4 linked regions of the Diceros bicornis minor genome follow. The protein of the gene in region 1 purifies or fractionates together with the protein of each later gene. This does not show direct contact. Links are inferred from orthologs where the notes say so. Each region holds a gene or a part of one and is shown in the gene's direction. Other genes may lie near its edges. The genes, in order: MTMR2, MTMR12, SBF1 and MTMR10.

Region 1 (7,819 bases):
TTTTTTCTTCTTTAAGCACTTTAACGATCTTGCTCTACTGTTTTCCATCACCCATAATATCTGCTGGGAAATCTATGACCTTTAGAATTGTGGTTCCCTTATATGTAATGTATCATTTTTCTCCAGTTGCTTTTAAGATTTTCTCTTCATCTTTAGCTTTCAGCAGTTTAATTACAATGTGCCTAAACATGGTTTTCCTTGTATTTATCCTGTTTTGTGTTTGCTGAGCATCTTGAATCTGTAAATTTATGCTGTTGGTCAAATTTGGTAAGTTTTTGGCTATAGTATCTTTCTCTGCCTAGTTTTTTCTACTTATTCTGGGACTTCAATTATCTGTATATCAGACCTTTTGATATTGTCCTACACGTACATCCCTTGGACTGTTAATATTTTTTCAATCTCTTTTCTCTTTTTCATATTGGATAATTTCTATTGATTTATCTTCTAGTTTCTGACATTTTTCTCTGTTAAATCCATTCTGCCATTAGGCTCAGCCAGTGAATCTTTTTATTTCAGGTACTGTATTTTTCCTAAAATTTCCATTTGTATCTTTTTAATGTATTTGATTCCTCTGCTGGGTTTTACTATCTTTTCATTGATTACAGTGTTTTCCTTTACTTCATTGAACATAGTTATATTAGCTGCTTTGAGATTACTGTCTGATAATTCCAACACCTGTGTCATCTGGAATGTAGCCTTTCTTTGTTATCTTTTCCTTTGAGAATAGGTCCCATTTTTTTAGTACTTTTTTTTTTTGTGAGGAAGATTGGCCCTGAGCTAACATCTGCCAATCCTCCTCTTTTTGCTGAGGAAGACTGGCCCTGGGCTAACATCCATGCCCATCTTCCTCTACTTTATATGGGACGCCTCCACAGCATGGCTTGCCAAGCAGGGCATCGGTGCGCGCCTGGGATCCGAACCAGCGAACCTCGGGCCGCACAGCGGAGCGCGTGCACTTAACCGTTTGCGCCACTGTGCCGGCCCCTCTTAGTACTTTTTATGTCAAGTCATTATGAATTGTGTCTTTGGCATTACGAATATTGTTTTAGAGTCTCCGGATTCTGTTTTTTTCCTCTGCAAAGTATTGATGCTTTTGTTTAGCATGAAATTAATTTGGTGCGAAACAAACTGAAGATTTTGTCTTGCTTATAGTGGGTAACAACTCAAATCCTGCTTCAGTTCTATTATGTGGAAGAGCAGAAGAATATTCTATTTTTGGTTCTTTTATCTGAGCTGCATGCATTGTGCCTTTATATTATTCAAATCAAATTAGGGCTTAGTCAGAGACTATCTGAATTGACACAGAGTTTAGAGTTCCCCTCCTGGATTCTCTCTTTTGGAATTCCTGCCTCATTCTCTAGCTGCCTTGCACTCCCTTCTCTTGGTTCCTCAGGCCCGAGAGATGGTGGGCTTTCTATATGAGTTTTTGCCACTGTGCACTGCACCACAATCTTGGTCTGTCCATAGGTCAAAGCCACCAAAAATGGAAAACTCACTCTGTGTTGGTCACCTCCTGCACATTTTGACTCTGCATGCTTCTGTTCACTTCTTGACTCCTCAGGTAGTTGTTTTTTTGTATTTTGTCTAGTTCATAGTTGTTATCTGTGGAAAGGTCAGTCTGTTAGGAGCTTACTTCTCCATACTAGAAAAGGAACTCTCCAAACGAAAGTAATCAAAAAATTAAATTTTTGGATAGAAATAATTAATTATAAAGTTTATGTATGCTTGATCTTTCCAAGGATTATGTTTTTGGCATATGTGGTTTAAGAGAAGCAGAAGTATCCCTCTACTTGTCTATTCATAAGCCACCATTTTACTGTCTCAAGAGAAGTTTCCTTTTTCTGATTCAGATTATCTAGTAAACAGCCTCTGACAAGCTGATAGGCAACAAACCTATAGATCCAAATCAGTGCCACTCAAATTGTGTCCACTAACCAGTGTCTTACATGAACTATGTGTTGCCTGTCTATAATGAGATGAGGACAGAATTGAGAATGTGTGTTTACAAACTTTCATGCAACTTTTAGAGTAATTTTATATCTGTTAAATATAAGAAAAAAAATGTGGCCTTGTATTTGCATGCCTTTGGTTTTTCTTAAACTTCATTTTTCTAGTAATTAATTTTTATATTTTAAAAAAGTATTGGTTGGTGATAGCTTGGAAATTAAAAACAAAAACACTGGTTCTTCCCATTGATAATTTGACAAACATTAGCCTAGATTTCAAATAAGAAAATAACTTGGAAAGGTCTCAAGTTAATCATTTAATAGGAGAGATGAGCCTAGACTGTAATTTAAATATAGCAATAGTTCCTGAATGACCTGGGATGGGCTAAAATGTTTTTTTAAAAGATGAGAAAACTGACGTACAGAAAGTCCTAATCAAGTTGATTTCTCTTGGGTATACAACATAGCAGCCAATATGTCAGCAAAGAATTCAGTACTAATTTAGCTTTGAGCTGAGATTAAAATAGTCTTTGCTTGTTCACTCTGAGAAGTTCCTGTTTTACTATTTAGGTTAGAAGTAAAGCAGTAAGCTCAGAGGAAGAACAAATAATAATAGCAACAGACCCATTTACTAAGAGCCTACTGTGCAATCAACTCAGAGTAGAGAAAAACAACCCTTTATGTGGATTATATTTTTATTCCCATTTTGGAGATGAGAAAACTGAGTCTTGGAGAAGCAACTTAATCTAAATCATAGAGCAAGTAAGCGACAGAACCAGGATTCCAATTCAGACATCTGGTTTCAAAGTCGCTACACTTAACATTACTGTTCTTTATTAAGCCCCAAATAGACCCACACAAATTATTATACCATCAGGCATGTGGTTTCAAGTGCTCTACTAAGACAGCGCTAGAAATGAACTGGGTAATAGCAAGTACGTGGGTCTCCCATTCAAGGATTCATCAGTCTTCACTAAACTTAACTTGGAAAATCTATGTCAAAGTATCAGGTAGCAGTCAGCATTTTGGAAGGCAGGTAAGGATGGGGAAGCAATAAACAAATTCTTTTCCGAATCACTGTAGATGTGTATGCTTGTTAAGTGTTTCTATTTATTCTCTTTGCCTATCAGAGGATTGGGTCTCTTTAAAAATTACACAAATAAAAACCATTGTTTGCCATCCTGTCCTTACCAAGCTGGAGAATGGAAGAGAAAGGCTAAGCCTTTTGTGCTTAAACACACATTCATTCATTTTAAGAACTCTAGTTTATGCTGAACACAACTAAGCTGGGTTGTTCTTCTGGGGAGTGTACTTGCAAGTCAATATTTCACTGGCCCTATACCTTAAGATTTTCTTAAAGATATCAGTTGTCAGTATAAATTAAATCTAGTTTAAATCAACATAATTCTATTTATCCCAGCAAGAAAGTTTTTTAAAAATGATTCCTTGTCTAATTGTTTACAGAAATAATCTTTGCATAATTTTACACCCCATACTTCAGGTGCTTGGGATTCAGTCTTAATCAGAAAAATTTCTTTACGGCATCCTTTCTACGTCCTTCCTGTATCCTCTGTAACAGAAAATTACCAGCAGAAGCATTTCCCCTTCACCCAGTTCCTGTTCTCTTATCACAATTCTATCCCTCTACCCTCCCTTCCTGCTCTGCAGGAGAATTTGAGAGGGCAGGGAAAGATTGTTAAAAGTTTGCCCTCTATCCAACACCACTGCATCCAGTAGTCTGCGTGTCTACTTTTTTGCCTATTTATCAGTTCCCTCCCCTGTTTCCTCTTCCATACCTCTTTGTGTGGACCATGGATTAACGCCCAAGTGCTTTTACCCTATGGACACTTCCAGACCACAGTGACTTCAATCCAAGTCACAGTAGGACTGAAAGTTTCAGCTTGTTTTCTAGTGCCCTTTCTACAATGCTGGGCCAGGGGTGGAATGAAAATAAAAATGATGAGCATTAATTTTTTTCCCTACCTGTCCTATACTTTCCCCATTACCCTTCCCATACCAATCATTCCTTACTTCTCTGCCACCCTTCCTATGTCTTCCGCTCCCACAGCTACCCTTTATTGAAGTTGTTAGAAACTGTTATATACATCAGTCCATTCCATCCTAAGAACTCTTACGACGTAGGCAGTAATGCTAATAGCTACATTTGAGTGCTTACTATGTGCCAAGCATCGCTTTAACCATTTTACATGTATTAACTCATCTGATCTGTGAAGCTATTATTCCTCTTCCTATTTTACAGATAAGGAAGTTGATGTTTTCAATGCCCTGTGTTAAACTGGGAGTAACTGGCAGAGATTTGCTGTATTTTTTTTTTGCAGGAGAAGATTCGCCCTAAGCTAACATCCGTTGCCAATCTTCCTCCTTTTTTTTCCCCTCTCTCCCCTGCCCGCCTCAAAGCTGCAGTACATAGTTATATATTCTGGTTCTTCCACGTGAGTAACGGCCACAGCATGGCTACAGACAGTCTGAACCGGGACACCAAAGCGGTGGGCGCCGAACTTAACCGCTAAGCCATCAAGGCCGGCTCCAGAGGCAGGATTTGAATCCATGTCTGACTGGCTCTAAAGCAGCCTTTAATCATTACTTAATTAATATTTATTGAATCAGTATTTTCAGCCCCTAATCTGGTGAACACTTTGCGATCTCATCTCCCATATCCTCATCCTTTACGTGCCCCTAAATTCTCTTCCTCCCTTCGTGACGCACCGCCCCCTCACGTCCCTTCTGCCCCTTCATCCTACTGTTCGCCCACATTCCTTTATTACCCTGCGCTCTCACTTTCCTTGACCCCCACATTCCGGTCTCCATCGTCTCCGTCCCTCAGCTCCTCGTCTCTTTCTTCTCTTACTCCTCTCTCATATCTAAAATTTCCCCTCCTTCCACACGTCCCTCGTCCCTCGTCCCTCCCGCCTCATAAGACCCTCTCACGCCGGGAACCGTCACCTCCCTTTCCCAGCGCCCAGAGGCCGAGCAGCGGGACGCAGCGCGCACAGCGCGCCGGGGCGGGCGTCTGAGGGGCGACGCGGGGTCCCCCCGCTCCCCGGCAGCCCCGGGCGCGGTGCAGTCTGGGGGAACATGGCCGCTTCCGGTCTCCCTGCCGGGCCGGCACTGGCCTGAGCGCGGCTCCTGCCCGGCGCACTCCGCCCTCCGCTCCTCCCGCCCCGCAGCCGCGGAGGTCGCTTCAGCCTCTCCCTCCCGCTGCCCCCGCCGCGCCATGGAGAAGAGCTCGAGCTGCGAGAGTCTTGGCTCCCAGCCGGCGGCAGCACGGCCGCCCAGCGTGGATTCTCTGTCCAGGTAACCAGGACACCTAGGGCCCCGCCCAGCGTCCGAGGGGGATGGAGAGGGGTCGGGGGCCCACTGGATGGTGCCCCCACTCGCGGACTCTGGTTCCAAAGGCTGCGCCGGAATTCTTTCCCTGGGACTTGAAAGCTACTTCTTCCTCGCAGGGGCTTAGAGGCTGGGAAAAAGAAGGTTAAAACTCACTACTACTTTATCGCCTCCTCTACCTTTCGTATTGAGATATTATTTTATCCCCATTGAGGTAGCCCCAGTTCATTACTTTCTCTTATCTTTCGTTCCCTCTTAAATCATTTTTTGGACAGCCCTTCCCCCACTCTCCCCCTTCCCCCATTTCCTCCCTGTCTTTCTCTCTACCACTCTTTTCAAAACCATCCTCTAGTCTTGCTTCCATCCATGCTTGTGTCTTTGCCTTTTGGATTCTTGCCCACCCTGACTTCTCTTTTTCATCACTTCACTTCCATAAAGGAAATCGTTCAAGATTTTCCCTACACTCTGATTCGGCCCACCACCAACTTTGCTTAAAAATGTATATAAAAATACACACTGTGCGTTTCTTTTCTAGATCTTTCAGTTGAAAGTCATTATCTAGGAATCTCAGTAGTCTTTATCTCCGAGTGCATAGTGAATCATGAGTGGTAGTTTTCTTCCTTCTTGAGTTACCGGTTCTCCAGGTTATTTCTCTTGTAGCAGATGGGATTTTTTTCCTGGAAATTTGAGGAGGACTTTAGTATGCAGCATCGCAGAGAGCTGTTGTAAATATTAACTAGACATGTTTTAGATGCAGTTTTTTTCTTTGGTTTTAAAATAATGATTTAAAATTTTATTAAGGAATAATAGAAGACCTGTAACTGTTATATAGCAACAATGAAATCACGTTCTTTTCCTCTGAAAAAGTCTAATTTTTATTAGTGAGTTATTAGATACTACGCTGTGGTGCGAAAACACACACAATTTTCATTTTTTCCCCTGAATAAAAGTTGCACTGTCTCCTTTAATTAATTTTGGACTCCACTAAATATGGGTGATACTGCCAATTTTTCCTATTACTGTTCAGTAGGGAACAGCAATCCCTATTTGGGATTCATTAGCTGATGGGAAATCATTAGCTGATGCCATCAATCTAAATTAGATTCTTTTCCTATATGCACTCATAGCAACCTGCCCACCCCCTTTTCAGAGTCCTTAACAAGCACAGTATAATTGTTGATTTGTCTTCTCTACTAGGCTATAAGCTACTTGAGGACAAGGACTGTATCTTACTCATCTTCATATCCTCAGCATTTAACAGAGACCCTGCATGTCAGAGGTGCTCAATAGTGTTATTTTGAATTTGTAGGTTGAATTATCCAGGAGAGAAGAATTTTTCTTTGAATTTGATTATGTATATTGTACATTTGTTTCAAGTATTTTTTGAATTTTGTGTTTATTACTCTGAAATTTAGAAAGCTGAGGATTTACATAGCTGTAAAATCATTCAGAAAACACGTTGGAAAATTATAATTTTATGAGAAAGTTACAAATGCCAGCTATGGTTCAGAGTAGAATGTAAAGAAAACAAATGAGGCAACCAATATTCTCATCCAAGCGAGAAGATTTAGAACCACAGGAGGCAGCACAGTCTGCTAGAAAGAAGAAAGTACTGGAAGTCAGGAGGCTCAGGTTCTCAAGTCCCTGGATCAGCTAGCCATTTGGCCTGTATCATTTAACGTTTCTAGTCTGCTGTTTTCTCATCTTTTAAAATAAAGGGGTTGATCTGGAAAATCTGTAACGCACCTTGGAGCTCTAAAATTCTATCGTTCTTTATCTTAATGACTATACTTACTAAGATGAATGCATTCTTATCAATTACTAAAATATTACCTTTACAAATAACCTTTGTTATAGATTTTTGAAGTTACACTAAATAAATGTTATCATTACAAATTAATGTACCTAATTGTTGCACTTAAGCACATTTATTTTCTAAAAAAGACAATGTCCCGCAACTTTAAAGTTTATATATGTATTTTAACTTCTTAGTAAAAAATTATGTTATTGACATGTGAATTTGAGAAAATTAAGAACTTGAATTTTGACTACAGTATGTTAGTTTCAGCCTCTCTAGACAAAAATGTAGGTATGATTCTCTCCTTTCCACAGGAGAATGCCAGCTTTCATTCCTCTCCTCTGGAAGGTAGAAAAATAACATTTATTGAATGTCTGCTGTAAAGAATTTACCATGCTAAATTCTTTCATATCTTTTATTTCATGAATTATTACACCTGTTTATGGCACTGTCTTTAATCAACAGTATAGAATAGCTGCATTGTAGACACTTGTTAGAAAGCTTAAATTTAAACTTAATGTAGCCTAACAATCACAGGTGATTCTAATAACAGGCCAGGTGTAATACACAACCATGGTTATAATAGCTACGTTAAGTGGCTATCTAGATTAAGTTTCTACTTTTGTTTTGTTAGCCTATGATAAAGCAAAATACTGTGTTTGAACTATATTATCTCAGCTTTTTGCAGAAATATCCCCCTTAAATTGTAGTTTATTTTCGTGCTTTC
Region 2 (7,413 bases), on another chromosome or scaffold:
AACAGGGCTAAGTCTTCAGATCTGGACCATTTGCTAAAATTGAGGTTTGGCAAGTGGCCAGTAAATAACACTTGCATTTTAGTCCTTGAATATTTCATATATATGTTTATATAATTATATTTATTATTATTATATAATATATTATGCATATTATTTATTCATTTTCAAATCAGGTCCTGCTTTGTATCTGAGTGATGTAAAAGTGCAGGCTCTAGGGCCGCCCCGTGGCATAGCAGTTAAGTGCGTGTGCTCCACTGCTGGTGGCCCGGGTTCAGATCCCGGGCACACACCCATGCACTGCTTGTCAGGCCACGCTGTGGTGGCATCCCATATAAAGTAGAGGAAGATGGACACGGATGTTAGCCCAGGGCCAGTCGTCCTCAGCAAAAAGAGGAGGATTGGCAGATGTTAGCTCAGGGCTAATCTTCATCACACACACACAAAAAAAGTGCAGGCTCTAACCTGGATGCTTCTCCTGCTTACTAATCAATCGATGCCCAGACTGCTTTTCATTTAATCCCCATTCATTCAGGTGCAAATATTTATTGAATTCCTACTATGCACCTGGCATCTATTAGATAAAGATGAGCAACACATGGGGCCTGGCCCGGTGGCACAGTGGTTAAGTTCACGCACTCCACTTCAATGGCTGGGGTTCATGGGTTCAGATCCCGGGTGTGGAGCTACACACTGCTCGTCAAGCCATGCTGTGGTGGCATCCCACATGCAAAGCAGAGGAAGATTGACACAGATGTTAGCTCAGGGACAATCTTCCTCACCAAAAAAAAAAGAACGAGATGAGCAACGCATACAAGTAGGCTGCTTCAAGCGACTTCAAAGAGGAGGAAATCTAAATAGCTAGGCCTAACTATCAGCATGAGGACAATGCTTCCCCCATCTGGGAGTGTGCTGTGGGTTTCAGTTGTCTGTGGGAGGAAACGACGCTGCCTTTGGTCTGGCACTCATTTCTGTGTGAGCTAAGATTTGTTCCTATTTATAATTCTCCAAGAAAGCGTAGGGCGATGTTAGAAGAAAGGAGTGACCTTAAAACTATTATGTGTAAATTAAAATATTCCAAAGTCTAAGGGCTACCATCTGTGTTTATTAATAGATGGAGAATTATTTGACCTCAGCATGACAGGAATTTTTCAATCAGTTGGGAGAGACTCTCCCAAGGAGATTTGACCTACACTCTGAAGATCAAGTAAAAATATGATGATAGCTGGAGATTCTTAAGAGCAAGATAGAAACAGATGTTAGCTTATTCTTCGTCCTCATTCCTTACTGCTCCTTAAAGAAAGTGTGGATTTTCTTTTTTTTTTTTAAAAGATTTTATTTATTTATTTTTTCCTCCCAAAGCCCCAGTAGATTGTTGTATGTCATAGCTGCACATCCTTCTAGTTGCTGTATGTGGGACGCGGCCTCAGCGTGGCCAGAGAAGCGGTGCGTCAGTGCGCGCCCGGGATCTGAACCCAGGCCGCCAGCAGCGGAGCGAGCGCACTTAACCGCTAAGCCACGGGGCCGGCCTGAAAGTGTGGATTTTCATCACTGAGTCAAAACTGCCCCTGGAAGCAGCTGGCCATTCAGTCTTTAAAAACCTGTCTCACTTCCTTGCCAGAGTTTTCTGAGAGTGTATGGATGCAGTGGTTGTGTCAAGTTTCCAGAATCATCGCAATGCAAACCAACTTAACCACAAATGGATACTGAAGAGCAGGATAAAGTAATTATTATAATACAGGATGGTTTGAAGAGAGGGAAATTTGGTGTGGTGAATTATAAATAAAAGCCATTATTTCTAGTCCAAGGATTGGGCCAGAAGTTAAAAACAAAAACAAATAAGCAAAGAAAAAAAAACCTCTTTGTTAAACAAAGTCCCTCAGCTGGTTATTGGGAGAAGTCACTTTGCTTCTCTTTCTATAGTCCCCAAAAGGGGTAAATTATGTCCTGCTTGGTGGGATTGTACTAAGGACAGCCATCACCTATTTATTTCTTGCTCCTTACCAGGCATCACCTGGATGACATTTACTCTTCATAGCAATCCCCACCCACCTTGAGATAATTATTATTGCTATTACTATCATCCTAGATACAAACAGAGGCACAGAGAGATGAAGTAACTTGCTCAAGCACACAGAGATAATAAAGGGCATAGGCAGGGATGGCTACATAATTTGCAGGGCCCAGTGCAAAATGAAAATGTGGGGTCCTGGCTGGGGGCAGGGAAGTCAAATCCCCTTCCCACAGTGAATGGGCGTCCCCCAAGGGATTGGAGCCTCTGCACCTGGCCACATTGGATATTTGCACAGGGGTGGACAAGAGGCCTTGGCTAGTTGCCATGGCGCTGCCAGCCTAGGGTAGGGATGGCTGCCTACCCTACCCAGAGACACAGGAAGGGGTTGGGGGGCTGTGCCTGACTCTGATCATCTCCTAGTCAGTGCCCAGGCACCCATGTGGGCAAAGGGTGGATGGCGATGGCAGAATATGAGACTTGCCCTCACCCCTTCCCAGCAATGAGGTACAGTTGCTGCCCCGACAGAGGCTGGCCGCAGTCCTGGGATTTGCTGGGGAGGGCCAGGGTGCCAGGGGACTGGGCACCTGAGAGGAGGTGGGGAGAGGATGGGAGGTGAGACTGGCAGGAGCTGAGGCTCCAAGACCCCTGGGCTTGCTCCATCAGCCCCTCAAACTTCACTTAAAAAACACAAATTCAAAGATAAAATGATTAAGATTTTCAAGGCTGCAACAGCAGAGCATTAAACCCCAAGCCCTTCTCAGTACGGGCCCTCCGTGACTGCTCTAGCTGCATGCCTGAGAAGCCAGCCCTGGCCAGAGGTATCCACTCTCATATACTGCCTATGGCGGAAGATCATGGAAATTCAAAGTCCTTTGAAAAGTAAGAAAGTAAAAATTTGCTCAGACTATAAGAATCTGCCCTGCCATTTCACTTTGAGAAGTAAAATTGCTGTTAAATATAAGGTGATATTATTAGTCCCGACAAATAACTTCATTCTTCAACACCTCTGTAAGGAGTGTCTATCTTTCTGAAGCTTGACTTGGCCTTCCCAAACAGAATTGACCACTTTTTCATTGTGCTCCTTCCTAATTTGTATAATTATAATGTTAAGAACTTCAGCTTTGGAATCAGACAAACTTGGGCTGGAATCCCAGCTCTGTGAGTGACTGGCTGTGAGACCTGGGCAAATTCCTTGCATCTGTTTTCTGACGTGAAAACTGGGATTCACTCAGTGGCAGCTCCAGCGCGGCTATGCTAGATAGGCTTAACAATGGCAGTCTAGTTAGAAATGAGGCTACAGGACTTGTCCTGAAGCTGTGGTTGCAAAAGTAAGCACATTTGTTTTCATTTAGATTTTATGTTTATCTGGAGTGACTTCGGGTGGCGGGGCTCATGGAAATGGAGACAGTGAGAGCATTAGTCACTGATGAAGCTAATGCTTAGCACAGTGTCTGACACCGAAAAAATTAACTGCAAATACTTAGTTTTTTCCACTAGATTGAATTTCTTCAGAGCGGAGTCCTGTCTTATTCACCTGCGTCTAACACAATGCTTGACGCCAAATGTTTAAATAATTTAAACAAAGAATTTTAAAAAATTGTCTTTGCAATCTTCACTAAAAGCGAAGGTTTTATCGATAACTTGGGAGAGTGGATAAAAAATCTTTTTAGGGCTTTTGATATTCTGTTAGAAACAAACAAACAACAGTTCGGGAAAATGAAGTCGACAAGGCCTTTTATAAACATTCAAACCTATTGCTAAATCCCTGTTAACACTTGGTTTGTCTCATTTGTATCTCCATTTAATATAATAAACCCGAACGTCATTGTGTGGATTTGTAACTCATACAGCGAGATTGGATACACCACACTTTTGGAAGTTTTATTACAAATCGATAAAGAACGAGAAGAGGAGTGCAGTGAACCACAGGTCACAACTTAGTGACCGCAGGATCACTGGATGACGGCGACATTCTTGCTATCCAATCGCCGGGGAGTCCGGAGAGAACGCTCTCTCGATTGGTTAGAGGAAACATCTGTCCGGGTTCGTTCAAGAGGGGATTTGGCGTGGGGCTCGGCTGGCCGCGCCTTCTGGCCAATCAGAGAATGCATGGGGGCGGGCTTTGCGGCAGGAGGGTGGTGTGGAGCCTATCTCCGAGGGCGAGTCTCCGCCGCTCAGACACGCCTGTCGAGAACGGAGGGGGCGTGGCCTCCAGACGCCGGCTCCCGGCTCTCTCGGCCGCTGCGCGTAGTGGGCGTGGCCACGGGGCGGGGCGAACGGTGTCAGCGACGGAGCCGGATGCGGGCGGCGCCGTGGCCGCCGCGGCCCTGGGGATGGGCGGAGCCCCAGCCGCTAGTGCTGGTGGCCGCCGCTGCTGCCGGAGCCCGAGTGGCCCCCTCTGCTCCCGCGCGTCGCTGCTTCCCAGAGCGGCGGTATGCTGGGGAAAGGGGTAGTGGGCGGTGGCGGCGGCACCAAGGCGCCCAAGCCCTCCTTCGTGTCGTACGTACGCCCCGAGGTGAGCGGGCCGGGCGTCGGGCTGGAGCGGCCGGGGCGAGGGGCGCCGGTTGCCCCTTCCCCGCCGCGGGGAGGGCCGCGAGCTCTTCCTGGCCGTGTGCAGGAGGGGAGCCGGGCCGGGTGGGGCCCGTAGGGGCGCTCTGGGCCTCCCCGCGGGCCGGGGTGGGGACCCCCGGGCGGGCAGGCAGGTGCTGGAGCGCAGGGCCCGGCTCGCTGGCGACCAGGTGAGGGGGCCCGAGCCGGGAAGGTGCCGCGGCCGGGGACGCCGCTGACCACGTTGGAGTGAAGCTGGGGTTCTGGGCACCGCGGGAGGGGAAGGGCTGGGGGGTCCGGACCCCCATGGGGGCCTGCCCAGAGCCCGCCGCCCGGGTGGGTCTGCCCTGCCCCTGGAGTTTCTCAGCGAGTCTTCAGAGCTCGCCGGTCTCGGCTGCCTGCTTCTAAGAGTGCTGTTCGATGCCGCTGGCGGGGTACCGCGCAGCGCCGCCCGCCGCCCATCGGCTCTGCAGGGAGAAACTGTGGGTCGGGCCCAGCCTCAGCCAGCCTCTACCTCTCCCTTGTGAATTCCCCTCTGTCGCTTCTTCCCCCTTTCATTTCAGCCCCTCACCATCACCCTTTCCACCGCCTCTTCCTTTCCTCTCGGAGTTTTACTGTCAGGTTCATTCATTCATTCAGAAAATATTTTTTGAGCTCCTACTCTGTGCCAGGCACTGTTGTAAACGCTTGGGATATACATCAGTGAACAAAGATCCCTGCTCTCCTGGAACTTATTTGAGGGAGAAAGGAGTGAATAATAGATGAAATAGATGTAAGTAAGTTACATGGTGTACTAGGTGATGAGTATCGTGGGAAAAGAAAAGGCACCTTTTTCCTCCTTGCAACGGTGGTTTGAGCCAAGACTTGAAGGATGCTTGGGATCTGAGGGAAGAGTCTGGAGTGTTGGAGGAGCATCAAGGAAGCCAGCCCTGCAGAAGCTGCTCACGGGGTGAGGGGAGAGGTTCCAACCTGTAGGTCATGCTGAGGGCTTCTTGAGCGATAGCTCCCAATCCAAATGCCTAATTAGAGTGTTCTCATTTCCGATTCCTGAAGGTTTTTTCTGCTCCTCTCTCCAGTGCTTTAATCAGCAACGTGCAGAAGCACTACCAAACTCGTTGTTTTAGGGTGTCTTCCCATCTGGGTAAAGCACCAGCAAATGGGCTGTGGATGAAAGGTCTTGATCAGGGACTGCTTCTGTAAGCCACCTGAAGGCTTTGCACATGTATTTTCAAATTCAAAATGTGTGTGTTTTCTCCACTGCAGACTACTCTTGAAATGGGTCTTAATTTTAAAATAAAAACTGCTTACTCTGTAAATGCTTGATAAGGAGTCAGGGTCATCTTGAATTTTCAGCAGACTTCCCTTATAGTATTACGGGTAAGTAATGTGGTCCGTTTCTCTTTGTATTTTTTTTTATTGAGCCCTGGTTGAAGTACAACTGAACTTTAAACTTTTCAGTGTGATTAAACTACAAGTGGAAAGTCCTCTGAAATGTGGCCAGAGTTCAAGAATGTTCAAATTTTTCATCCACCAAGTGCACATGTTGTAATTAGACATGTTTTCTCTCTTTGCCCACAGCTCCTGATATATTTCCTTTGAGGGATAATTAGGGAAGGGGAGTGGTTCAGCCCCAGAATAAGCTCGAAATGGTCAGATTTTTCAGATCCTTATAGTTGGCAGTTTTGTTTGCTTGCAATAAAATAATGCTGTGTAGACACTATGCTTCTTTGTTGTAATCTGTCTCTAAAAATATTTTGTAAGAGGATAAGACTCTGACCTGAATTGTGAATGGTTTTTAAAAGATAAGGGACCAAGGGGGTGAGAAAGTCTGTTTTTAAATATATAGCTTTTGCTAGTGATCACGTTATTGGAAACGCATGTGAGCAGCTTTGAGGCGTAGCTTCTGTGCATCTGAGAGCACTGGGTCTGGTAAACTTCTGGGCTCATTCAGGAGGAGTCCCTCAGAACACTTTTCTGAAGACTGTCATTCTATTCCTATCCCTCATATTGTCTTTTTTTATATATAATTTCTGCAATTACTTTCTCTTTCTAATTGATTTTATTTATTTTCCCTCCAAAGCCCCAGTAGATAGTTCTATGTCACAGCTGCACATCCTTCTAGTTGCTGTATGTGGGACGCGGCCTCAGCGTGGCCGGAGAAGCGGTGCCTCCCTGCGCGCCCGGGATCCGAACCCGGGCCACCAGCAGCGGAGCGCACGCACTTAACTGCTAAGCCACCGGGCCGGGGCCAGCCCCCACATATTGTCTTCATCTTTACTGCCTGTGCTGTATGTCTTCCTATCACTTTTTTGTAGGCGCTTTTCTCTTGTTAACTGGGAAGTTGCAGGCGTCGACCTTTTTCCTCGTAGATCACTGAGCTGCCAGAACAACCTTCACGCCTTACGGTGCAATGTGCCTTACGGTACTTGTGCCTGCTGATGATCTTGTTCTTGGCTGATCAGATCTTGGCAGGTTCAACAGCAGCTGCCTTCAATATGCCAAAGAGTCTATCAAGAGTCAGCACTTTGTATTAAAAACAGCAGCGCTTAACTGGATAAAGTATTTAAAAATGATGCTTTTCAACATAATGGCTTATTTTCCTTCTTGCGATCAGAAGCAACTGGCATTGGACAGCCTAAAAGGAGGGGTACTAGTTAACTCCACCTTTTAAAATTGGATCTCTGCCAGAGTAACTTAAGGCTCTTCTGTCATTGATTCTCCTAAATCAGTGAATGTGAAAGTTAAAATCCTGAACTGTAATTTAGGACTTTGGGTTATATTTTGTGAACTCTGCCCAGGGGGTTACAAATCGGTAAAGCTAGTAAGTGGGAAGCTGATGGCTCTGGAAGTTGAGG
Region 3 (8,227 bases), on another chromosome or scaffold:
CGGGTGCCCCAGGAAAAGAGGAAAAGAAAGAGGGGCCTCTTGCCCTGCTCAGAGGTTGCTGAAGGCACGGAGGCTGGTCTTTGATTTCGGAGGTAAGCACTAGCAGCAGGCGGGAGGCCCGGGGGTGGGGGGCCTGGGGAGGGCTGCGGGCAGAGGGGACCTCCCTGGGCATTCTGGTCTTCTGCCTTGCAGGCCAGGGGTCAGGCTGGTCTGAGCCCCACTCACCTCGGTCTGGCGGGCCGCCGGGACAGCGTGCCCGGGAGCTGCAGGTAGAGGAGGCTGATGCAACCGAGGGTGACGGTCAGGAGCCGGGCCATGGCGGGCGGGGCTGGAGGGGGCGTGAGCCGGCAGGTGTGGGGCGGCCCTAGCCCAAGCCACCTTTCTGCCCTCACCTTGGGGAGCCCTCCGCGGTGGGCGCCGCGCGCAGGTTGTACCTGCGTCCTTCGGGGTGCGGGGCGCGGGCGAGAAGCGGGCGAGAGTCTGCGGACTGTGGGCCAGGCGGGCGAGGGCGAGGCCTCCGCGGTCAGATCGCTGTCGGGGTCCAACTGGGGATGGAGCCTCGGCTCCACCGAGCTAAATAGTCCCTCCTGAGGAGGCGGGGCCGACGCGCGGCTGGGCGGGGCGCCCTCCCCGGCCCCCAACCCAGCCCTGCCGCGGGTGGACTGCAGCCCGGCCGGCTGCACGGCGCTCCGCTGAGGTTCAGTGTCCCGCGTCCTGGGGGCCCCAACCTGTCCGGGTGAGGGGGTGGGTGCTGGGGGCTGTAGCAGCCGGGCGGTCCCGCCTGCCACCTCTCTGACCCGCAAATGTCGGCCCGGGGCCCTGGCCAGTATCTCTTCTGGGGAGGGTTCCTCACGAGGCGATCTCGAGACCCCTCCTCAAGATCCCCTAGCAGCTGTATTCCTAAGCATCTCTACCTTTTTTCTCCCATTATCGGAGTATAAATGGTTTTTGTAAGAAATTTAAATAAGTAAAAAGTGAGACCCCGCATTGCCTCTCCCAGATCTGCGCGGGCGCCGCGTTCCTGTCTCCCGTGTACGCTGGAGACACGCGAGGGGCGTCCTGTGTGTGTACTGCATGTATTACATAAACACATATATGCTTATATAGGTAAGAATCTACGTAATCATAGAGCCCTCCATTCTTTCTTATGCTTGGCTGACTCCAGTATGTAAGTGTTTTGTGACTGACTTAATTGATCCTTTATTAATGAGCAATTAGGCGATTTCCAGCCTTCCAAGAGTAAGAACCCGTCTGCTGTGAGCTCGCAGATGTCTCTCTACAGGATACTTTCCCAGAAGTGGAAATTCTGGTTGAGGGTGAGCCTGTGTTTGTGTCAACAGGTAGTGTCAAATTGTTCTCCACAAAGCTTGCACCAATCCACTGTCAGCGGATGACAGACTTCGTGTCAGTAGTTCCTTGCTTCTTTGTCAATCTGAGAGGGGACAGTTATCCTGTCGCCCCACTTAGTGGACATTTCCTGGATCATCTGGGCATCTCTGTGTCCATTTGTATTTCCTCTTCTGCCTAACCCTGCCCAGTCTTGCTCCCTCTGTCAGGTCATCCCGGGTGACCTGGCCACTCTCCTGTCGCACACGCCATGGGAGCTCAATAAACATTTGCTGGATGAATAAATCAACAAGTGTTGAAAGCATGCCATACTCAAGAGCTTGGTTTACATCCTGAGGAAGGTGGGGAAGCATTGGCAGATACTCCTGTTTCTGTTTGTTTATTTATTTTTACCAGTGGGGGGAGGAGGGAGAGTGACGTGACCACATTTATATCAGAAAAGTGGGGTTCAGGAGGGAGGGGATGCTGCGGGGCTGGCAGGAGGCGTGCCATGGGGACAGAGTGGACGGCTCAGAGGGAAACTGAGCTGGGTAGGGAGGCAGAGCAGGGTCAGCCCTTCTGTTTGCTGATGCAAGGAGCTGCTGGAGAGAGCCAGGAGGGGTTGGCTGCCTGGGGGACATCCTGGCAGAGGTGTCTGGCCAGGTTCCAGCCTCGTGGGCCTGCGGCTGAAGAGATGGCAGACTTGGAACACAGTTTTGGGAGTTTCAGAGATGGCAAGGCTCTGGGAGGCGAGAGGTGAGGTGAGCACCGCCCACAGAGTGCAGAGAGAGGAAAGAACCCACATGCCAGGTCTGAAGGAACAAGTAGGGCAGGGGGTGCGCAGAGGACACAGAGGCAGGACCGATTCTGCAGCTGCTTCTCCTCTCTCCAGCCTCCCTACACCTCCCCTCAATCTGTCTTCCACACTGCTGCCAGTGCCACGTTCCAAAACACAAATGTGATCATGTTACTCACGCCACCAATAAAGGAAAAATAAATCAAAATTCCCTGTGTCCATGAGGTTTTTAATCCGGGACACGTGGAGGTGAGCCTCAGGGAGCCTCAGGGAGGTTCGAGGCCCGTGGCTCACTACATTCTTTCTTTCGGAACACTTGCTGCCACCGTGGGCCTGTGGTCCCACCTCCCTGGTTGCCCGTGGGCGGGATGTCCTCTGGTCCTCAGGCTTAAGCCTGGCTGCTTATTTTGCCCCTGCCCCTCCTGACTGGATTAGGGGCCCCCTCTGTGGTCCCACAGGCCCCTGAACAGCACCTCTCGTGGCGCTTGTCTGTAACTGTCCATGTACCCTTCAAGGGGAAACTCAAGGATTTCCTTCATGTATCTTCAGTTGGAGAAGCTGCTTCTAGGTGGTGATGGGCTGGCTGCCGGGAACGGCTCACAAGAAATAGACCAGAGGTTGGCTGGTGAGAGGGACCAGGCCACAGGAGGCAGGCGGTGCTGGTGATGTTGGAGGAATGCTTTAGAGAAATCCTTGTGGGGCAAGAAAAGCTAGGTGTCAACTGGTGGGGCAAACAGCATCCAGGGAGGTTTTGCTTGAGTGTTTTAAGGTGGGAGTAGTTGAGTTTTCTTTTTTTGTGTGTGTGAGAAAGATCAGCCCTGAGCTAACATCCATGCTAATCCTCCTCTTTTTGCTGAGGAAGACTGGCTCTGAGCTAACATCTATTGCCAATCCTCCTCCTTTTTTTCCCCAAAGCCCCAGTAGATAGTTGTGTGTCATAGTTGCACATCCTTCTAGTTGCTGTATGTGAGACCCTGCCTCAGCATGGCCGGAGAAGGGGTGCGTCGGTGCGCGCCTGGGATCTGAACCCCAGGCCACCAGTAGCGGAGCGCATGCACTTAACCTCTAAGCCATGAGGCCAGCCCGGAGAGGTTGAGTTTAATCCTGATGGCAAGGGTCCCTCAATAGGGAAAGAGTGAGGATGGGGGTGTTGATAGGAAACAGCAAGAGGTGGGGAGGAGGTCGGGCGGGGCGGAGCCTCGATGGTAATTGTGGAGGGAGGAGGTAGAGTGTGAGGGAGGTGGGCTTGGAGTTTGGTGGTGCAACACGAGGCCTTCCATTGGATGGCTTCTGTTTTCTCTGTGAAGCTGTGGGGTCATCTCTGAGACACAGGAGGTGGGGTCAGAGGTTAGAGGATACTGCAGACGGGAGGAGAGCTGACCAGACGTCAGCAGGCTGGGTGGTGAGGGGAGCTTCCATCTCGGTTTGCCTGATGAGAACACTGAAAACAAAGCCAGAGAGGTGGGGGCCGACGACATGGGCTGGATGACAGGCGATGGGAGCCACGATGGGTGGGGGTAAAAGGACAGAAGGAGGAAGCCAAGAGGCCAGGGGACCCAGGAGAGTCATTCACTGCTGGGAGGAGAGGAGGCACTGGGAGTGGCACAGTCCCCAGAAGGGGAGGAAGCAGGTAGGTGTGAGCACCTCGGAGGGTGACCTGGGCAGTGTAGTGGGCAGGGAACTCAATGGCAAGAAACTCGAGTGGGGGCTATCATGGTCTAGAAGGGATCCCAAACCTCCCCTTGACCCTAAGGCACTTCCAGAGAGCTGCAAGGAATGGGATCCTTAGGGCATGAGGGTGGGGGAGGTGGGGTGCAGGGTCCCCACAGTTTCTGGGGGAGAGCCAGTCCTGGGCTCAGGTGCCAGGCCAGAGGACTGGCCAGGGACACTGCCGGCCCATGCTCAAGCTCAATGGTGTGGTAATGCGGCGGGGAGGACCTTTCGGGTGTAAGTGATAGAAACCAACCCAGGACACCAGGGGCAAAAAGGAAGGTTTCTCAGCCTGTGTACCCAGCAGCCAATAGAAGCAGAGGAGGCTGTGGCTAGGCCTGCCCCCGGGGGCAGGGAGGGGAGCCTGGCAAGGTCTCTCCCTCAGCTTTTGTCTCTGGGTTCAGTTTCATTCATTCTCTTGGGCTGGCTCCTGCAAGGGGACGGAACATGGCTGTCAGCAGTTTGTTTCTTCGTCGGTTCTTGCAGCAGCCAAACTCTAAACACAAACCCAACCCTGCCACCCTCCCTCCCAGCATGTCAGTGGGGCAACCTGAGGCTCCTCCACCTCCCAAGCTCCTCTCCTAGGTGTTCTGTCTCAGGCTCTGTGTCCCCTTTGCCCATCCCTGTGCCACTGCAGGGGAGGCCCTGGCCGGCGCTGTCCTTGAGGGTGGGCATTGTCAGGGATCCTGCCTTCTCCCAAGCAGCGCACCAGGGCTCTTTACAGCGGGACATGCAGCGCGCCTTTTTTCATGGACATGTGTTGAATGTGTCACCCACCTAGATGGGGCTTCCAAGCGTGCTGGGAACCCCAAGGGCAGGGCCTGGGTAGTCCCCCATCGCCAAGCTGGCAGCCCTGAGTTTGGAGACCCGAGGGCAGGGCCGGGCCCTCTTGCCTTCCTCCAGACTGACAGCGCTAGGGGAGAGCCCAGGGCCCCGCCCCGACCGCTCTGCGCCCGCGCGTGGGAGCCCCGAGCTCGAGGCCAGCTCCGACCGCGGCCGTGCCTGTCGCTGACCCGTCCGGGCCGCCGTCGCTGTCACCTCCCTGGGGGCGGCGCCCCGGCCCGGAGCGGGAGGAGATGGGCGGGGCCCCGCCCCCGGGAAGCGAGCCCGGGCCGCTGGACCAATGGGTGCGGGCCGTCCCGGGCCCCGCCCACGGGGAGGGTGGGGCGGTGCCGCGCAGGCGCACGGCGCGGCCGGGCGGGCCGGCTGGCTGGGAAGATGGCGGCGGGAGCCCTGGCCACGGCGGAGGAGCGGGCCCGGGGTGTCCGGGGTGCGCGGGCCGGGGCCAGGGTCGGGCCATGAGCGCCCCACCCTCGCGTCGCCGAGCCGCGAAGCCCGCCCGCGCCCCTCGCCATGGCGCGGCTCGCGGACTACTTCGTGCTGGTGGCGTTCGGGCCGCACCCGCGCGGTGAGTGCCAGCCCGCGGCGGTGGCTGAGAGCTGAGAGCTGAGGGCCGGGCCCGGGGACCGGGAAGGGTCCGCCGGCCAGCGCAAGGGTCGTCCGGGCACCTGGCGGCCCGGGGTCGGGGTCAGGGCGGCCCGTGGTCGGAGTCGGGGGTCGGGGCGGCCCGGGGTCGGGGTCGGGGCGGCCTGCCCGAGGTGGACAGGGCGGGGAGACAGGGCGGGCCGAGCCTCCCCGCCACACTCAGGGCCGAACCGGGTCTGGCAGCTCCTTGGCATCGGCCTGGGAGGTGGGAGGGCCCTGGGCGGCTCGGCCTCCGGACTCCCAGTTTGGTGGGATGGGCTCTCGCCGCCTTGGCCGACTGCCGGGTGCCTCTGCCTCCAGGGGCACCATCGTTCGTGCACGCCCCTCCTCTGACCCCCAGTACCTCTGTCTGAAGCCTCAGGCCCCGTGCGGGGCGTCTGGGGTCCAGGAGGCTTGGTGGGATGCAGAAGAAGGAGGGGATTGAGGAACTGCTTTACGAAGAGGTAGTGTTTGAGCTGGAACTCGGAGGACTTCAGGAGGAAATGTGGGGAGGAGAGAGAAGAAGAGCATTCCTGGCAGAGGGCCTGCCGTCCTCATGCCTGCAAGCCAGTGTGGTGACTGGTGCCGATGTCCAGGAGGTCCTGTCTAGGGTCAGCGCCTGTGTCTGAGAGCCCCTTCAACCCAGGGGGTAGGAGAGAACGGAGCTTGACAATGACATCAGCAACAGTCGTGGAGACAGCAGTGTTGAGGAGTGTGCTCACTGTGCCAGGCCCTGCACAGCCCTGTGTGTGCACGGTCTCCCTTCTTCCTCCCAGCAGCCCGCCGAGGTTTGCCTGCTATTGCCTGCATCCGTGGAGCGGAGTCAGGGCAGAGAGGTTGACTGCCTGGTTTGAGCCCCCACAGAGGGGCCAGGATTCACACCCAGGCTAACCCAGAGCCAAGATCTGGGCTCAAATCCCAACTGCAAGGGGGCAGTGGGTGTCAGTGGTAGAGGTGAGGGTGGCTGTGTGGTCAGGCTAGGGGTGAACCTTGAGCCTGAAGGAAGGGTGAGCCCCCCAGTCTACCCTGCTTCTTGTCAGCCCAGCCGCCACTGTCACCATCCAGGACCCGGACTTTTTCTCTTTGCCTTTTTTCTTGCTGAGCCTCCACCTGCTGGGCCCTGTACACTCCAGACCCTCCTCAGTGCCCTCTCACTCAGTACTTGTTCCTCCTCTCTGCTCTCGTCTGTCCGAGCATCCATCCCTGGACACTCTCAGTCGTAAGTGTATCTTTCCCTCCAGAAAAGTCGTTCTTGCGGGCAAGGACCAGTCGTCTTCATCCCCCAGTCTGCACGGGGCAGGCTCACTGTCAGTGTTGTGCAGGCCCGTGGAGGGAAAGCTGTCGGCTCCAAGGCACGTGTTGGGGGGCAGTGAGGAGGCCATGCCACCTGGAGCAGAGGGGCGCACGGGGTCCAGGGAAACAAGGCTGACGGAGGGGCTGCCCCAGTGTGAGGGCCCCTGGGGGGCATGAGCACAGCGGGCTTGGAGGCTGATGATGCTGAGGGCAGTTTGGGGAGGGTCTGAGGAGGCAGAGGCCAGCTGAGAGGCGTGCTGATGGTACTGACAGTAGGAGTGGGGAGTTGAGGGTGAATGTGAGGTAAGTGAGAGGGGGCATGGGTGGGCTCCATGACAAGCTGCCTGTGCCATGTGTGTGCTTTCTGCTAGAGCCACATGTATGGTGGATACCCCAGGGTGTGTGGCCTCTGAGCAGGACGGGGGAGAAGGCTGGAGCCCGCAGTGCCTGCTCACCCTGAGTGGTGGGAAGGAGTGATTCCCAAGCTGTCTGCTGCTACAGGAGTAGGGGGCCATGGAGCCACCTAACCACTGCTTTCCAGGGTTGGAGCTGGTCAGCTGTGGGCTGGCCACCCAGCCTCAGGGCCTTCCTTGGCAGGACTCGTCCATCCCTGTGATGAACAATTCCTCAGGCTGGCGCCCTGGCCGTGGGGCTGAGGGCAGAGCCAGGTGGTGGGGGGAAGCCTGAAGAAGAGGAGCACCGGTAGTGGGGGCGTGGTGGGCAGCTAGCGGTTCCTGCTTTGCCGCTTGATAGCTCTGTGGCCTTGGGCCAGTCTTTCAGCTCTCTGCGCCTTGGTTTCCTCATCTGGAGATGGATGAGTCCCACAGCCCTCCCGTGCTGGGCACAGACACAGTGGGGGACCCCTGCATGCTGGCAGGCCTAGGATATCAGAGCAGGGATGCGGGGTCTTTCGGGTTCGGTGGCGGGGGTAGGAGTGGTGGATGTCTTGTCGTCCTTGGCCTGGATCTGGACATCCTGTCCGGAGCTGCTGGATGCAGGGCCTGAGTGCAGAGTCCTGCCTGAGGGAGCGTCCAGTTTCGTGGTTACTACCTGGTGGGTCTTGCCCGGCAGGAGGGTGGGGAGGGGGCCGGGCGGGACTTACCTCATCTCAGAGGATGCAGGCCCTTCCCGGGTGAGTAGGGGGAGCTCCTTCACTAGGGATATGGGGTTAGCACCTTCTGCACCCTGGGTCGGGCCCTGGGGACATTGCAGGGGCCAGACAGACTACCCGTGCCTAGCTCCTGGCCCTGGAGGGCCCTGACAGTGGTCAGCTGATTTAACACAGCATGGCCAGTGCCAGGGTGTGTCTTCAGGAGGGAGAGATGCACTTGACCTGACCAGGCGGCTGAGTGCATGTCTGCCGGGGGAGAGGCTGGACGCCTCCATGCTGGAGTCACCCCCTTGCCTCTCCAGCGTCTGAGGAGAAGACCTTCCATGCCTGGCCTGGCCTCGCTCAGTCCTGACTGTGCTGAGCTGGCCACATTCCTGGGCCCTGTCTACTCTCCCCACCCTTGTCTCTGCCCTCCTTCTGGAGCAGGTTGGGGCTGTTTGAGATGGCCTCAGCTTGCTCCCAGTCCCCACCCTGGGGAGCCCGAAGGGTCCAAGGCCTTGGGTCAGAGCCAGTCTGGTCTGATTGGG
Region 4 (7,470 bases), on another chromosome or scaffold:
TTAATCTCTCTTCATTGATTTTTAAAATTTTCCTCCTTTTCATCTTCCACTTCTCTTCAGGCAACAACAAATGTATTTACTCACCCTTGGGTTTATTTTAGCTTGGTCTTTATTTCTGAAATAATTTTTTCTCTTCTTTCTAATTCTATCCTGAGTTTGTTCATTTCCTTTTGAGTGTTGCTAATTCTGGTTTACATAGTTCGTTCATATCATTCTCTTAGTGTCTCTTCAATAGTGGCTGTCAGCTTTGATCTGCTCAGGGGACATGTCTTTCTGCTGTGCTTTTATTGTCTGTAGAAGTGCCATTCTATTCTTATTCTCTTTTTCATTATAGTAGTCTTCTATGGATTTGACTTCCATACTTTCCTGTTGCTTATTTTTACATGAAATTGGTTTTCTGGAACTTTTTGAAGGAGGCAATTTTCAGGATTGCTTTTCTAACTTCACAGAGAACCTCTTCTGTTTTTCTAGTGTAGTAGTAAAATTTTTTAAGTCAGCTTACTTTTGGAGATTTTCTGGTCCTCCAGTTTTCTCTAGACCTTCTTTTTCCTCTGTCTCTATTTGGCTCAATTTTGTTTCCATGCCCAGCGATTGTTCTCAGTGTGGGCCCCTTAAGGAAGCCCTGGTAGGTCAGTTTCAAGAGTTCCCACAGCTATGTTGTTCCAGTCCCTTCAGGGCATACAAGGAGCCCCTTGCAGGCTCATGCTACTGGAGATGACAAACACCCCTCCCTATTTCACCTGCTGTTCTCAACCTGACCGGCTGGGCCTTCCAGTGGAAACCTTCTGGCTATTCTGGAGTTCTCCAGCTGCCTCACTGATTCCCTGTGCTGATACCACAGGTCTTGTGACTGCTATGGGACTTTGCTCCCACTTGCCTACGTATTGGAGATCATGGGGATACTGTTTCACTTAGATTTGTTGTAGATGTTGTGCAGGGGTTTCTGGTTTTACTTTATAGTTGCTTTCTCTGTGTTTATGTTGAGACTGAACAATTATGCTGCTGCTGTCATCTTCCCAGAATCTCCCCCCAAGATACAGATTTTTTAAATTGCTTAATAGTCCCAGGCAATGGCAGAGTTTTGTAGACATTATACATAACCACTCTAACCTCCTCCACTTTCACCACCGGCAGCTTCTTTTGTCTGGACTATTCTAATAGCCCCGACTAGTCTCCCAGCGTCCACCCTGCTGTACCACTGCAGCAGTGGCAGTGATTATTTTAAATTGTCAGTTAGATCGTGTCATTCTCAGCTCAAAATGTTGCAAAAGCTTCTTAACTTTCAGGCCCTATGTGATCTGGCCTGTTCTTTCTCTCTGACCTCCTCTCACACTGGATTAGGCTGCTTTCACCCACTGGCCTCAAACACACCAGATAGGCTCTCACCTCAGGGCATTTGCACTGCTATCCCCTCTGACCACAATGCTCTTCCTCCTGATTTCCAGCTGACTCCCTTTGGCCTCTGTTCAAATGTCACCTTATCAGAAAGGCCTTCCATGACCACACCCCACCTCCCATCAAAAAATAGAACTCTCATCCTTCTCGTGTTTTATTTTGGCACTTGTTACCATTTCACATGTTATACATTAATTTTTCTATATCTTTCTACCCATAATGAAAATGCCAGGAAAGTAGGAACTTTGTCTTCTTAGTGGTCTGGATCGTTTTAGCACAAAGTTAGCACTCAATACAAATTTGGTAACTGAATGAACGAATATATAATGTACCTAGCACCTAATAGGCATTCAAGAAATGTTAGCTCTTTTTTTTCTTTTCACAGGGAAAAGGAAATGATCCATAGGGAATGTCACTATCCTCCATGAGAGAAGAACCAATAATGGAAACAGAGTCAGAAAAATAGGAGGAAAACAAAATAGTGCCAAAAGAAGGGAATAGTCAACTATTCCATAAATACAGAGTGTCAAGAAGATCAGGATGAGAAGAAGCTACAAGACTAGTGTTATGGACTGCACTGTGTCCTCCCAAAATTTGTATGTTGAAGCTCTCACCCCCAACATGACTGTATTTGGAGATAGGGCCTCTACGAGGTAATTGAGGTTAAATGAGGTCATAGGATCCTAATCCCACAGGATTAGCACCCTTATAAGAAGAGACACCAGAGCACACTCTCTTTCTCCCTCCACCTGTGAAGACACAGCCACTGTCTGCAAGCCAGTCTGAGAGCTCCCATCAGAAATCTACCTTGCCTGTACCTTGATCTTGGACTTCCCAGGCCCCAGAACTGTGAGAAATAAATTTCCGTTGTTTAAGCCACCTAGTCTGTGATATTTTGCTATGGCAACCCAAGCAGACGAATACAGTTACATGTCTGAAAGTGTCATAATATTTAGGGTTACGTCAGTAACAAATCTAGAAATCAGAGTTTTTCTACTTTTCAACTGTATGGTCACATTAGCATTATAGATCCTAAGAAAACCTGTACAGCAAAACCCAAATCACATAGTAAGTCATTAAAGTATAAAGAAATATCCACATATTGCTTTTTTCCACTTGTGGAAAAAATCCATTTATTTTTCCGCAGTTTTATTGAGATACGATTGACATACACTACTGTATAAGTTTAAGGTGTACAGCATAACGGTTTGACTTACATGTATTGTGAAATGATTACCGTAATAAATTTATTTAGCCTCCCAAATATTGTATCTCTTATAGATACAATAAAAAAAGAAAGCAAAAAAAGAAAAAAAAGGTTTTTTTCCTTATGATGAGAGCTCTTAGGATTTACTCTCTTAACAACTTTCATATATATCATACAACAGTGTTAACTATAGTCATCATGCTGTATATTACATCCATAGCACTTATTTATCTTGTAACTAGAAGTTTGTACCTTTTGACCACCTTTCTCCAATCACCCACTGCCACCACCCCCTGCCCCCCGCCCCCTGCCCCATGTTAACCACAAATCTGATCTCTTTTTCTATGAGTTTTTTTTAAAAATCCATTTTATGTAGAGAAATCACAGACTATTCATAAAAATTTTAAAATGTATGTGCACAACAGCATTTTTAACACCTATAACCACCTAATGGACTTAACATTTTAAAAGCACAATTGTGGTTCCCTAGCAAAATAGAATCATGTGTCACTCAAACAAGTAAACCAGAAAGACCAGCAGCGTTCTGAATCCAGGATAAATTATTTTCAGGAAAAAAGCAATCTTTTGAATCTGTAAGTTTTTTGGTGTTTCCATTAGCAACACTTGTCAGTATGGTTGTGATTTGTATGGCCACATTGGAGCTTCCTTGTGACATTATTTATAAAATGCTAGGTTAGGGTTTTATTCTTCAAAGCATAAGAAGGATCTAGTCTCAACTAACAGATCACCAAAATGTAACGTCACTAATCCCCTTCCCCCAAAGGCTGCTCTAATTCAGAAATATGTTAAGAGTTCTGAAATGCCCTGTCCTTGATATGCTGAATTTCGTCTGTTCTTTGCAATTAATGGGCAGATTATTCGGTCCATAGGCTATTGAAGACTCCCTCGCGCCTCACCCCCCACCCCCCAGCGCTAGGGCCTTACTCTTGCTGGGCTTGGATCATTTATTTGCTCACTAGTATCTTTACATGTGAGGATGGGCAAGAAAAGAAAGGAAGGTAACTTGCTTAATATCTTTTTCACATTAAGTTTTAATAAGGAGGGTAGAAGTCATAAACTAAATTGAAGAGTCTGGATTGCCTGTCAATGTCATCCGTCAATAGTCCCCACAGCCCACGCAAGTCTCCGCATCCCGCGGAAATCAGCAGTCAGCTCAGCTGGTAGGACATCCCTGTCTCAAAGCTTTGCGGAAAAACAACAGACGAGGTGATGGAAGAAAATCTTCCCCAAATGTGGGACCTTTAAGGGGCTTTATCACATGCAGTACAAATCGTGCTGAACGTTTGATCCCGGTCACTGCTGGCTGCACCAGTCCACTCTCCCGGTGCCGGGCCCTCACACACTGGGCGCAGTGTGACTGGATGAGTCCGGGGCGCCAGAGTCCCCTTCTCCCCGCTCCGGGCTCCTCCTAACGACTTAAAACAGCAATGATCGCGCGAGCTGGGTAACTAACGAGCAGCAGTCCATGGAGCTGTCCCAGCCTGAGAAGAACCGCTGGGCAGTCGCTACACACAGTGCCCAGTGCCAGAGTGGCTGGCAGCCTCCCGCAGCCGCCGTGGCCCCCGCGGGCCGCCGTAGGTCCCCGCGGGCCGCCGTGAGCCCTGCTGGCCGCCGTAGACGCGCCCTCCCAAGGCTGAGCTCTCAAGATGGCTACCGGGCTGTGCTCCCTGCGGCGCCGTCGCTGAAGTCCCGGCAGCGAGAGCACCGCGCAAAGCCTTGCGTCCGGGCGCCAGCGCGGCCGAGCCGCCGAGCGGCCGGCCGCCGGCCCTGCGCGCGCTGTCGCTCGGGGCGGGGCGCCGAGCTCCTTCCGGGGATGGGCCCCGGCGCCCGAGTCGGCCCGACTCTGCTCCGGCTCCTCCCCGCTCGGGCGGGCGCTCCGCCGTGTCCCCGCCCGTCAGTCCGCCCGGCCCGGCTGGCCGCAGACGGGGCCTGGGCGGCCGCACGGAGAGCTCTGACTCCGCGGGCGTCGGGAGGCGTCAGCGCTGCCGCTAGCCCGTGGTGGGTCCCGGGTTGCGTCCCGGCCGGGGCGAAAAGGCGGCGGCACCATGTTCTCCCTCAAGCCTCCCAGACCCACGTTCAGGTCCTACCTCTTGCCGCCGCCCCAGGTAAACAACCCCCTCCCTGCGAGCGCCCCTCTCCTTGGTGTTTCCGGGGAGCCGCCGGGCCGGCCCCGGGGAGCAGGGGAACCCCGAGAGGCTACCCCGTCTCCCTGTCCCCAGCCGTGCGGTTGCCAGAGCCCCGGCGCGGGGAAACGCACCTTCTCGGGAGCCCCCACTGGCTCGGTAGAAACTTGTAAGACTGCCGCAGCCATTCTCTGCCTGAAGACCTACGGTGCTTAGTTTTGCCGCGTGATGAGACCCAAGGGAGCTGGATCGATTTAGCTCTTCGCCTCGCGGCGGTCCTCACTGTGACCGCCAGCGTGACTGCTTCGCTTGTGGGCACCTGGTAGAAGAGGTTACGTACCTGTCATAAATCTGAACACCTGGAAGCGGCATAGGCAGTTGTAATATTTTTATTGTCAGCCTCCCAAGTCGATAATGACCAGATCTTAAAAAGAGCTCGGTAAAAATGTGAAAGAATTTAAGTGGGGGGAATACGTGTCTGTCACATATATCGTCACTTAGAAAACAAAATTTGCTTTAGTATCTCATGGGAGGGAAAAGTTTTGATTTTGATTTATTTTGCTAATGTATTTCAGACTGACGATAAGATTGATTCGGAACCGAAGATTAAAAAATTGGAGCCAGTCCTTTTACCAGGTAAACAGATTTCTAACAGATACTTGAGTAACGAGTTTTGGTTTAAGATTATTCTACCGACCAGTACCATGTGGTTAACTTTTCTCTTTACTTTAAACTTTAGTAAAAAATGTAACGACTGAGGGGGCAAAAAAAGGTGGTTAGAACTAAACAACAGCATTAAAAAGTAATGATTAATTGGTGTATGTCCTTGAAAATTTAAGCATCATAGAAAACTGTCAAGAATATCTCTATCTCATTTCCTTTTTTGTCTCCTGAAATAGTCTTTTTAAAAGCTTTTTAAAAGTTCTTTTTTAATTGCTTAGGTAGTGAAAGTACTCTTTGCCCTTCATGTCTGTCTGCAACTTCATGCATTAATAATTAATAGTCAAACCATCATTTTATGAGGGAGGATGAAAAGCAACTTTTATTTTGTCTGTGTCTCTATACCAATAACAGAGCTTAGTGAACTTTGAATTACTTCCCAATTGTTTTTTGAAGTTGTCAGCTGTGTTTGCAAATTTACTTGTTTCAGTTTAGAATGGAGTTTCCCAGCAGAGCCACTACTGACATTTTGGACCTGATAATTCTTTGTTGTAGGGTGTTTAGTAGCACCTCTACTCACTAGATACCAGTAGTACCCCCTTCTCCATCTCCTAGTTGTGACCAAAATGTCTCCAGACGTTCCCAGAACTTTTTTTTTTTTTTTTTTTTGCGTTTGTGGCAAAATTTCCTCCCAGTGGAGAAGCACTGGTTTAGAACAACATTTACCTCAGAGGGCCTTAGAGGTAGAGGTGGGGATTGGGGGTAGATAGGAGTTTAGTTTTAAAACATATAAAAATATTATTTGACTGGTATTTTGAATTGTATAACAATTGTATAATAATTAGAAAAAGCCCGTTGTTTACTATGATTATTGGGGGAAGTAGCCAGATACTTAGGAAAGCCTGTTTTAAACCTGAAATATAATCAAATACCAGTTTGTATGGCTACTATCAATATTGTAAAGTATCAGTCATTACTTAATGCTTAATCTAGTAAAATGATCAGAACTTTATGGGTAGTAATTAAACAAATATAGAAACTTTAAATTTTGTGCTTTAAAATTTTAAGTATTAAGTAGGAACAGACACATTAAAAACATCAATCTGTGGTTCCATGTTATAGATGCTACTTAAAAGTTGTTTTAAACTCTATTATAGGAGTTAGGTATAAATATTTTCTCTTGATTTTTTTAATGCTTTTTACCCAATCAGTGTGTACGGAGTAATCCTTGTACTTTTCCTCAGAGTGAACAATAGAATTAATAAGTAACCTTTGCTCCCTGTGTGTGTCCTGTTTGAGTCTTAGTCACTGGAGGCATTTGAAAGTCAGCTGTGGGAAGCAGTGCTCATCTTGAATGAATGCCTGTGAGCTATTGAGCTTTGGCTTCCTTTACTTTGTCTGAACAAGCCTGTTCTTAGGCTTTGATTCTACACTTCTGATATTATGATTTGACACTAATAAACAACATGGTCTTTGCTACAAATGATAATGCTTGATTTTTTTAAATTAATTTTTATATTTAAAATATGCTTATGAAAAGTGTTACTAAATATCAATCAGCTTGAAGAACTTTACAATGAAGGATTATCTGTTCTGTAGAATTAACTAAAAACTTACCTTTCTACTAAAAATCAGAGGTTTCTGGGGAAGATGTAAACCCATTTCCTGAGCATAAGTGGTTTACTTGTACTAGAAATCACAGCTAAATCTGCATCTTCTGACCTGTGTTAAATTTCTTGCATTGGCTCTAAATTTGCATACATATGGCTTTGGCACCCCAAGTTCTATTTGCACCTGACCTGTTCCTTATAGAACATTTAACCAATCCTAAATTAGTGTGTCTTTTGCCTTCCTTCCTGACCCCTTCTGTTCTGACCTTCTTATCCTGGCTTTCCCACACTCTTCCTGGTTTCTTTCTGTCATGGTCTCTCTTTCCTGCTTCACCTCTCGTGTCGCATTTCTGACTACCACTAGAACCTCTGTTGCTTCTTTGGCCTGCAGCCTACTACTCTACCCATGAAATCTGGAAGACAAGTGGAAAGTAACTGAAGTATTGATCTGAAG

Evidence for each region.
Region 2: the proteins of MTMR2 (region 1) and MTMR12 purify together in Homo sapiens (affinity purification with mass spectrometry; 5 studies listed by BioGRID and IntAct, with this or other methods). This does not show direct contact. The link is inferred for Diceros bicornis minor from reciprocal best matches to the Homo sapiens genes MTMR2 and MTMR12.
Region 3: the proteins of MTMR2 (region 1) and SBF1 purify together in Homo sapiens (affinity purification with mass spectrometry; 6 studies listed by BioGRID and IntAct, with this or other methods). This does not show direct contact. The link is inferred for Diceros bicornis minor from reciprocal best matches to the Homo sapiens genes MTMR2 and SBF1.
Region 4: the proteins of MTMR2 (region 1) and MTMR10 purify together in Homo sapiens (affinity purification with mass spectrometry; 5 studies listed by BioGRID and IntAct, with this or other methods). This does not show direct contact. The link is inferred for Diceros bicornis minor from reciprocal best matches to the Homo sapiens genes MTMR2 and MTMR10.

The regions. Positions count from the first base shown.
Region 1 is NC_080746.1:38,064,645-38,072,463, forward strand, and holds the start of MTMR2 (myotubularin-related protein 2), read left to right. Parts: upstream 1-4,806; 5' UTR 4,807-5,181; coding exon 5,182-5,261; intron 5,262-7,819. UniProt on the Homo sapiens protein: Lipid phosphatase that specifically dephosphorylates the D-3 position of phosphatidylinositol 3-phosphate and phosphatidylinositol 3,5-bisphosphate, generating phosphatidylinositol and phosphatidylinositol 5-phosphate.
Region 2 is NC_080759.1:35,993,802-36,001,214, forward strand, and holds the start of MTMR12 (myotubularin-related protein 12), read left to right. Parts: upstream 1-4,354; 5' UTR 4,355-4,445; coding exon 4,446-4,526; intron 4,527-7,413. UniProt on the Homo sapiens protein: Acts as an adapter for the myotubularin-related phosphatases. Regulates phosphatase MTM1 protein stability and possibly its intracellular location. By stabilizing MTM1 protein levels, required for skeletal muscle maintenance but not for myogenesis.
Region 3 is NC_080764.1:330,007-338,233, forward strand, and holds the start of SBF1 (myotubularin-related protein 5), read left to right. Parts: upstream 1-5,078; 5' UTR 5,079-5,185; coding exon 5,186-5,240; intron 5,241-8,227. Other genes in the region: protein ADM2, read right to left, coding at 226-317. UniProt on the Homo sapiens protein: Acts as an adapter for the phosphatase MTMR2 to regulate MTMR2 catalytic activity and subcellular location. Promotes the exchange of GDP to GTP, converting inactive GDP-bound Rab proteins into their active GTP-bound form.
Region 4 is NC_080744.1:78,608,988-78,616,457, forward strand, and holds the start of MTMR10 (myotubularin-related protein 10), read left to right. Parts: upstream 1-4,399; 5' UTR 4,400-4,668; coding exon 4,669-4,728; intron 4,729-5,321; coding exon 5,322-5,382; intron 5,383-7,470.